Rattus norvegicus: one gene and its partner. The protein of the gene in region 1 purifies or fractionates together with the protein of each later gene. This does not show direct contact. Links are inferred from orthologs where the notes say so. Each region holds a gene or a part of one and is shown on either strand. Other genes may lie near its edges.

Region 1 (4,857 bases):
TAAAGAAATTAGTATAGTTACATGTGAGACAGTGGAAAGCGTTCCAGACTAAGTGTAAAAACTATTAGACGGGATGTTAATCTAACTAAGCTGGAGTAAAACTGTGCATGGGTAAGTGTGTATGCACAAAGGAATGCGTTAAAATTATGAAAGGCACTGTAAGATGTGTCAGTGCACACGTGTAATCTTAGCCCTCTGGGAATGGAGGCACGTTTGCAACAAGTTTGAGGCTAGCCTGGCTATATAGTGAAGTCAAGGCCACCCTCACAGTCAGTCATACTCAGTCTGAACAAAGCAAGCAAGCACACCTTTGCTTGCACGCAAAGCGGTTGAAAAAATAGTTATAAATGTTTCAATTGAGAAGCCAAACATCCCAAAGAGAAACAAATCTACAGCGTTTGGAAGGGAGCTGGGGCTTGAGAGCAGCTCTGAGGCTTCAGAGGATAAGGCATTCTCTTCAACCTGCAAGAGAGGAAAAGTGGGAGTCTTTCCTGAGCAAGTGAAGTGGAGCATGAAGTTTCTTGGTGTAGGAGAGTGCCTTGGATGGTGAATAGACTGGGAGGGGGGGCTGGCAGGAAAAGCAGCAAGCTGTTGAGACCAGGAGGCTCTGGTCCCACCAGGCTCCTTTCAAACCCATGGATGGTGGCAACATGAGTGATTGACTGAAACCAGCACCTGCGAGTCTGGTGGAAAATGGAAAGAAGTCACCCATATTGAAATACCATTCACCGAGGCAGACTGAGGGTACCTTAACAAAGCAGTAGCCTTCATAAGGAAAGATAGCAGCTCTCTCACACCTGTGGTGACCCTGTCGAACATTCTTCTCCATGCAACCATTCAGCATTTATTTGTAAGTTAAATCCAAAAGTGTTCAGGAAGGACAAAAATGGGCAAGGAATTAACTTGCAGGATGCTCCCCCAGCCCCACCTCCATTGGAAAACGATTTTTTTCTATCCCTCTCCCACCTCTACCCCTTGCACTTTTTGTAACATACAGACACATTTTTCCATAAGACACTCCCAGCAAAATTGAAAACACATGTGCAGATGGCCAGGCTGGGCTGTGCATGTTCCTGTACGAGCAGTTTCTCTGAGCTTCTGCAAAAGCAGCCTTCTCAGCTCCTGGATGCTGAGGCTTGTCTTAGTCCCCAAAGTAGCAAACAGATCTCTGCTGCTGTAACAACTTCTTCCTATATAACAACCCGGCTGCCTCCATTCTCCAAAAGTTACATAGTGTGGATTTCCTTCCTGATAAACGCTAAGGCTTGCTCCTTGATTGGTCTCAGTTATAGGAAAGGGCGTGGTATCAGCAACTTTTCAGACTTGAGACTCGGGGGGCTGTTGTGTACTTTGTCCAGTCTCCAGCACGCTAGGTGGAGTGTGGTGGTGGTGGTGGTGGTGGTGGTGGTGGTGGTGGTGGTGGTGGTGGTGGTGGTGTGTGTGTGTGTGTGTGTGTGTGTATGTGGCTGTCTGCATGAGAATCTGTTTGACCACAGGTAGTGCTCACATTACCCTGCCTGTGTTGTTCTCTGCTGCAGACTGCCTGGACCAGGACGTGTGCAGTTCGACCAACCACAGAGCTGGAATTTCCCAGGGGCACCAGAAGCATGGCATTTGAGTTTTCCTGAGCAACCGAAGTGGAACATAAGAGTTTGCTGGCCTAGGAAGATAAACATGGATGGCGAACAAGGGGGCAGGAGTGACAAGCCAGGAGGCTCTCCTCACCTCAGATTTCTTTCAAACCCATTGATGGGGGGTGAGTCATAGAAGATGGGAAATGGGAGTGCTTGGGAGGGTGGTTAATGTGCTCAAGAGAGAGCAGGGAGCTGGACTCTGTCAGTGGGTCTTTCTGTGGGGTGTCCACAGAAGTCCAGAGTTTGTTAGTCTTCATCCTCTATGTGATTATTCAAAAAAGTACCTTTGTCTGTGGCATCATAAAGGTGAGACAAATTTTATTATCACAGAGCATTTTCTAGTGGTGAAAACTTTTGCACCAAGAAGTCACTCACTCTTTTGTGGGTCAGGTGTATTACTTATTAAATAAGAGGTTTAAGAGTTACTTATAAGTAGCTCTGTTTCACTCTCCTGTGTAGTTCAGGTTGACCTTAAAGTCATAAGTCATTATCCTCTTGTCTCAGCCTCTGAAGTGCTGAGATTACAGGGCTCTCTCTCTCTCTCTCTCTCTCTCTCTCTCTCTCTCTCTCTCTCTCTCTCTCCCTCTCGTTCTCTCGCTCTCTCACTCTTTTGCTTGCTTCTTCCCTCCTTCACCCCTCCCGTCTCTCTCTCTCTCTGTGTGTACCACATAGTCTTAATAGGAACACTGTAGCTGCTAAAAAATTCTCTTAATTAAAGTTCCTTTAGATATTTCATATTTAGTTAATCTGAGTTTCTCAAGGATATTGGCTGGTTGATTGCCTTTAAAAATGAGACTTTTAAAACTATGCAAAGATTTCCTCTAGGCTGATGCATTGGCTAATAAAGACTCTCCCACTTTCATTCACTCTCATTCTTCTGGAACATTCAGCAGTTTCCAGATGAAGGGATTCTGGGCCTAAGCATACAAAGAGACAGTATCACATTTAGAACACTGTTAGGCTTCCCACAACACTTTTCTATTAGAAGCACAATAAACAGGTTCGAAAGGCCTCCAGGACTTAATGATGTCTTTCTGTGCAGCTTTGTAAAAGGAAAACAACAGAAAGTAGACAATGCGATATGCCTTCCCTCTCTGGTTGAGGTGACAGGATTGCACATTTTTTGTTTGTTTTTTTACTTACCCATTTCCCCCCCAAAATGTACAGGGTGAGTGGGGCTTCCATACACAGACAAAACTGAATTAATTAGCATGAATTGAGTACACATTTAGTATAGTAGAAAGGTAAACTGGAATCAAGAATCACTTAAAACAGGCTTGTTGAGTATTTCAATGCAGCAATCCAATCACTGTTGGAAACAATAATTCAGTAGCGTTCCAAATAGGTATTTTGCAGCAAAGTCTTGTGTTCTTATTTTTTTTGTATGTGGAGAGAGAACTAGCCCCCTTTTCCTGGATGGTTGGTATGCTGCTTAGAAAGTGGACAGGTTGTTCCAGCTAGGATGTAGAGTATCTCGAGGAGTCAATTTAATGAGAATTAATTTGGAGAGATGGAGCTGGATGGTGAAATGTGTGTGTGTGTGTGTGTGTACATGAAAGTCAGCACATATGTTATAGTTGAATGTGTAGGTAGAGGCCAGAGGTCAAATTGGGTATCTTCTACTGCTTTCTACCTTGCTTTCTGAGACAGGGTCAGTGTTTCACAGAACCTGAAGTACACTGTTTGGGATAGACTGGATGCCAAGTGAGCCCCCAGGATGTGCCTCTGTTGTTCTAGCAGTGGGGGTAAAGGTGTGTGCGCCTATGCATGTGTTTTTCCATGAATGTTGGGCATCCGAACTCAGATCCTTATGCTTGCAAAGCAGGAACGTTTTTCACTGAGCCTTCTCCATCACCACAGAATGGTAAAGCTTTTACATCTGTGTGAAGGGATTTAGGCTTTGTGAGTTGGGGAACTGGAAGTCACTGATGGTCCTGAGGCCATAGTGAAGAGTATGAGGAGATTAGTATAGTACCCCAGTTAGAATAAATCATGAGCTATGCAGAAAACGACAGACTTAATCCATTGGTTCTCACTTGCCTCAGTATCGCCTAGAGGCGTTGTTAAAAGGAAGGTGTACGGCTGCTGAGGAAGTGACTAGACTGTGTTGAAGCTTGGGTATCTTCATCCTCAGGCAGCCTCTACATGAGGTTGACTGGAATTTTCAGACCCCATACCTTAAGAACCACTGCGCCAACCCAAGCGTACAGCTGGTAACCTGGGTCAAGCTTCAGATATGATGGAGTAAGGACTTTCATTCTGAAGGCAAGAGAAATTGGATTGTGCCATTTGTTTCAATATTGAGGCAAATTGGGAGAAACCATCTTAAATTGTGAAGTTTGTTTTAAGCCTCAAATTAGGTTAGCCAGAAGAGCTAGATAAGAGGGAAGCTAGAAGGAGAGCTGGCTTAGTGTGGTGAGAAATGGGGGAGTACAGAGTTTTATTTCTCTCTGTTATATGTACATGCTTGTGCGAGAGTGTCTACGTGCATCCGTATGTAGAATATATGTGAACGTCAGAAGTCAATGTCGTGTGTCATCTGGAATCTCTCTGCACCATAATTTTGTAAGACAGGGTCTCCCACTGAAGTTGGAGCTTGCTGATTCAGTAACTATGACTGACTATAGCGCGCCAGGGATCCTCCCTGTAACTGTCTCCCTAGCGCTGGTATTATAAACACATTGGTACAGTTTTTTTAATGGGATGGGATGCTGTGGATCTGAATTCATGTCCTCTTGCTTATGTGGCAAGCTGCCTTAAAAAAAATCAACGGACTGTCTCTCTAGCTCTCCAGGGGTTCTACTTTTGACATAAAACTGTTAGTAACATTGCCTAATCCACATAGCCTGGTGGTATGGGGCTAAGGTTGGAAATGAATACAGGTTGAGTGTGAGAAGCCTCAGAATGTTCTGCAGAAAGCTTGTGGTTGAAACTCAGTGAATGGAAAATTTTTCCAATGGCCAAGAATTGGTACATGAGGGTCAGTAAGTTAGACCATAAAAACAGGAAGGGATTTCTGATGTTACTATTCCAAGGGACCTAAAGGCATAACAGTTTTCAAAGACATGAAAAAGCACAGGATAGATGCCTAGACATTTGGGCATCCCTGTTTGCGTACATTCTCCTGCTCTGACCCAGAATGCCACTTTTCTCCTCACTTTCCACACTCAGTGTAACAGTCCACCGCTCCCATGCAGCTCTCCTAGGTTTTCCCGTCTTTTCA
Region 2 (5,136 bases), on another chromosome or scaffold:
TTTCAGGTACAGTTGGTAGATCTGGTCATGACTCAAACTGGTCTTATCTGGCCTACATTTTCCCTTTCTGACTGATGGACATGACAATTTTCTCTTTGGTAAGATCTACTTGCAAAAGTCCAAGGCATTTCTCTAATAAGTCAATATACTAATCCAACCAAAAAATATGCTAATTTGGCCACTCCCCAGTAAATCCTATATCTACTCAAGGTGTAACAGCTCTGCTTTATCTCATAAATTACATCATAGATGGACCCTGGCAGGTCCTCACATATTCCAAAGACAAACTTCAGCCTCCCCATTTTATTATTCAAAATGTATTTGGAATTCCTCCCTCAAAAGTTCCAATGACTCAAATAGGTAAATGTAGATTGATAACAGAATCAAATGTCTGTTTATTATGTCCTTCATATTACAACAGTACTAGCTACCTAATATCAGACTATAGGCCAGGCCTGGTGGGGAATACCTGAATCCCAGCCCTCTACAAACCTCTCTGAGCTAAGCTGGTCTAAATAGTTGAGTACTGAGGCCAGCCAAAGCTACAAAGTTCTGCCTCAAAAATAAATACTGTTCATTTAGGACATCTGCTTTTTCTCACAGTCATTATCTCACAAAATCATCTTTTTGAAAATTCATATTTGGCATCTGACTTCACTGAGTCAGTTACAAGTTTTCCAATGTATTGTTACGAAGTTACAGTACTTTTTCTTTCTGGTTTTGAGACAGGCTCTAATGACAGCCCTGGCTGGCCTGGATTCAGAGATCAGCCTGCCTAGCTTCGAGAATGTGGGAATAAAGGTGTGTGCTATCTGAATGCAGAGCTTTAAAAATCCTAGTGATCTTTAATCCTAGCCCAGTCAGGTAGGCTTTTCCATTTTATGTGTATAAACTACAGATAAAGATTTATAATTTCCTCAAGATAACAAACACTAGTGACTGGAATACTGTGTTTATTTTCCTAAAGGTCCTACGGAGAATATTGACTTTCCTAAGGACTTGGGATGGAAATTGTAGGTTGTACCTCATAGTTAGCCAAGTAATGAACAGGTCAAAAGTTTACAAAGAACCAGGTACCCAATTATTTCTTAAACACAATTCAAGAAATAACATAAAACACTGCTTATGTAGGTGTGAGTACATTAGTATGGGTCTTGAGAGCATCCTAAGCGAAAGCACAGGACTACAGGAGGTGTCCAGAGAGATGCTCCGAGGATGAAGTGCTTATTGTATGAGTCTCCTGACAACCAGAGTTTCATCTCCAGAACCTACCTAAGGATAGAGGGAGAGAACTGACACACAGAGCTGTCCTCTGATCTCTAACAACCATACAGTACACTCCCACATATACACACACTAAGCAAATTAAGGTTGGAGTGGGAGTGACCATGATGAACGTACACTATATGCATGTATGAAATTCTCAAAACATTAATAAAATACATTAAGACCAAAAACCCCCAAAACCCTAGGGGCCAGTAAGCCGGACAACCTCAGTTTGAGCTCCAGAACCCAGACAGAATGGGAAAACTCCCAAAAGTTGTTCTTTTAGCCAATCAGTGATGCTTGCCTTTAATCCTAGCACTCGGGAGGCAGAGGCAAGTGATCCTATTGAGGCCAACCTGGTCTTCAGGGTGAGATCCAGGTCAGTCAGGGCTACACAGAAAAACCCTACCTTGAAAAACAAAAGACAAAAAAATTGTTTTTTTGACCTCTATTGGCATGTCTGCACTCATGTACACATTAGAAAATTTGAAAAACATAACCGTGTAGAGTAAATCTTTCCTGCGAATTAGTCTATAATGTAGCCTCAGCTGGTCTCAACTCACTACATAACCTAGTCTGGGCTAGGTCCTCCTGCCTCAGTGACCCACATCATACTGGGAATGACCAATACCACCAGGCCCAGTTTCAAATGGTTCTTCTAGTGCTTTAGCGTACTGATATTAAGTGCCAGTCGCTGTTTTTAGGCATTTTACATAGTTCATCTCTCAAAAGTACTACCAAAAATGGAGGAAGAAACTTGGTCAAAGAAGTTGTTAAGGTTAGGGAACTAGCTCAAAGTCATACAGCTGTTAGACAGAAATTCAACCCATGGCTTGCTGCATGGTGGCACAAGCCTTTAATTTCATTATTGGGAGTGGGGAGGGTCAGCAGAGGATCTCAGAGATCAAGGCCACCCTGGTCTACAGAATCCAAGGACAGCCAAGGCTACACAGAGAAACCCTGTCTCAAAAACCCAAGAGATAGAAATTCAGGAAGACCTTTTAAGGAACCCCTCAAGTGGTGTTGCAGGCCTTCAATCTCAGTGCAGACAAAGGATTTCTGTGAGTTCGAGGCCAGTTGGGCTACATCGAAAGTTCTGGCCAAGATGGGGTCAATGAGACCCCTTTTAGGGGAGAGGAGCCTTTTCTATTATTATTATTATTCATTCACACAGCCTGAGAACATATGTTTATGTCCCCTCAGGTCATCACTAGCCCCATTTCAGCTAGTGCTTTAGGACAGAATTCTTACTAAAAACACAAACTTGACTCATGTCTTTATCATAGTCCTCATTTTTTATCAATCTGCCTGCCCTGAGCCTCTCCTGGTATTTAAAAACTTCTCAATGCTTTCTTTAATGAAAACTCTTCTACACTCTAAAAGAATGGTAGAACTTTATCGGATGCCACCTGATGTCCTACATGGGAGGTCGGGGCTGGGAGACAGTTCCTCAAGGAAAAAAAAGAAAGAAAGAAAGAAAGAAAGAAAGAAAGAAAGAAAGAAAGAAAGAAAGAAGGAAGGAAAGAAAGAAGAGAGGTGGAAATAGGAAGTCAAGCGTGAGAGAACTGAAGGGAAGGTGTAACATTCAGAAAAGGGAGAAAGGGGGTGAAGTGGTAGGCACTGCTGTCTGGCTCGCATTTCCTGCAGACCAGAGTGTGAACAGAAATTAAAAAATGGGGTTGGGAGTTAAGCCACTGAAACCTGCTAGGTAGCATTTTGTTGGGATTTTTTTTCCCTGTTATGTCTTTGACACTCCATCCAGAAGAAACGGACCCCAAGAGTCACAATGGCGGGTTGGTGCGGGCCCAGCAACACTGCTCTCGCTTCCAGCCTGGGTTGATCCCCTGAAAGCATCGCTCCGAGTCAGTCAATCAGCCGGCGGGAGGAACCACCAGATCCTCTGGACCCCGAGGCCAGGGCCCGGCGTCCGTGTGCTCGGGCAACAGCCACCCCGGCTCCCGTTCCGGTGGACAACCCCGAAACACTCTCACATCTCGCTGCTCACACGGAGCCCGGTCCTTCCCCAGGAGCTGAACGCGTCGGTCACCGAGCAGAAGCCGGGCTGCAGTCAGGGGCTTACCTTTAACAGATTAGACGTCGCCATGTTCTCAACTTGGACTCTCGCGAGACGCGGCGAGACTTGGCGGCTCTCGGGGCCAGGCCTCCTCGAGAGGCCGGGGTTCCCAGCAGGACCCCGCAGGCCGCAGCGAGGGATGCAGGGGACGCCGGAGCGGCGTGCCGTCAGCGCTGAGCTCGTCCCAGGCACCCGTGCTTCCTCGGGCTTTCCCGCTACATGGTCACCCCGGCCTGCCCACGCGAGAGAGCGCATGCAAACGCTTAAAGAGACGCGAGCGGCGAATGGTGGGAAGGGACAGGGAGCCGACCTGACCGGGAAGAGGTAGTATCGACTTCCCCGGGCCTCCCCAACTCGTCTTCGGTTCTGCCTCTGGGGTTGCACCCGCCCCGGCCGCCAGCAACGACTTTAGCTCGGCTTAGGGCCCGCACCTCAGGTTCCGTGGCGGTGTCACGTGACGCGGCGGGCGGGGGCGTGCTCGGGAGCAACCCAGGCGATAGCAAGCCACTGGGTCCCGAGGCCGCGCGGAGGGTGGGAGTGCGCCCTCTGCTGGCTGGAGCCGGAGCAGCCCTCACGCGCTCGCCCCAGATCGGGATTGCTATTCAGAGCTCTGGATTAGATTAGCCTGGAAGGCTTTTTACTGCTGTCCTCCGCAAATGCTGACATGGAGAAGGCGCCCGGTATATTATTTGTTTGGTGACTGATGCACAAACCTGCTGTTATTCCGCTAAAAAAAGAATGCCCGGCTTGTTCAAGAAGTGATTATTAATCTTGGACTCCTTAAGACATATCCTAGAGCACCCTACAGTATTTTCTCCAAATTGCATCGCTTCAGATCACAAATCTCTGATCAAGGGAAGACAATATAATTTATACAGGGTTATCTCCGTTTAGCTGTAATTTAATGCATTACGCAAGTTCCTAGCACTGTTCTTTTTGGGTTTTGTTTGTTTGTTTCTTTGGTTGGTTGGTTTTTGACAGAATTTCTCTATATAGCCCTGGCTATACTGGAGGTGCCTCGGCTCCCAAGTGCTGGAATTAAAGGTGTGGGAAACCACCACCTGGTGTCAAACTTGTTTCTTTGAAACTCATCTCTCACTGTTCCACAATTTTAATCCCAGTACTCAAAGCAGAGGCAGGAGGATCTCTGTAAGATTGAGGGCAACCTGATCTACAGAGCAAGCTCCAGGACAGCCAGGGCTACAAAAAAACCAAAAGCTTCTCAAACATTGCTAATACATTGTTCATCTTAATCTGAGGTGCTAATTAGAAAAGCAGACTTTCAGGCTCTACTCTGAAGGATTTTATTTCATATATTAAGCCTGAAATCTCCTTTTGCCCCAAGCATTCCAGGTAGCTTTGTTTGAAGCGGTCTTTCTATGTTATTCTTGGAAGGCCAAGAATTCTCTATGTAGACCAGGTTGACCTAGAACTCACAGAGATCTGCCTTTCTCTGCCTCCAGAATGACTGGTAGAATTATAGGTATGTGCTCCCCTCCGAAATGGCCAAAATTTCCTTATCTCTGCTTCGGGCAGGGTGTGGTGGAACATACCTTTAATTTCAGCACTCTGACTTCCAGACCAATTAGCGCCACACAATGCTTAAAATGAGTTAAGATCTACTTCTCAGACCTTGAATGCTTTACTTGACCACAATGAGCCTTAGTTCTCTTGTTGGTGAAATTAGTATTAAAACATCTAAATCACAGCGCTTTTGCAAAAATTAAATATAAAGACTGGCGAAATGGCCCAGTTTTAGAGCACTGGTACTCTGGCACTTAGGGGGCTCTGTGTAT

What was found. The genes of interacting proteins can lie anywhere in the genome.
Region 2: the proteins of Asb9 (region 1) and Cul5 purify together in Homo sapiens (affinity purification with mass spectrometry; 6 studies listed by BioGRID and IntAct, counting the BioPlex papers as one, with this or other methods). This does not show direct contact. The link is inferred for Rattus norvegicus from reciprocal best matches to the Homo sapiens genes ASB9 and CUL5.

Annotation. Positions count from the first base shown.
Region 1 is NC_086039.1:33,621,175-33,626,031, reverse strand, and holds the start of Asb9 (ankyrin repeat and SOCS box protein 9), read left to right. Parts: upstream 1-1,674; coding exon 1,675-1,756; intron 1,757-4,857. UniProt on the Homo sapiens protein: Substrate-recognition component of a cullin-5-RING E3 ubiquitin-protein ligase complex (ECS complex, also named CRL5 complex), which mediates the ubiquitination and subsequent proteasomal degradation of target proteins.
Region 2 is NC_086026.1:62,959,059-62,964,194, forward strand, and holds the start of Cul5 (cullin-5), read right to left. Parts: upstream 3,371-5,136; coding exon 3,347-3,370; intron 1-3,346. UniProt on the Homo sapiens protein: Core component of multiple cullin-5-RING E3 ubiquitin-protein ligase complexes (ECS complexes, also named CRL5 complexes), which mediate the ubiquitination and subsequent proteasomal degradation of target proteins.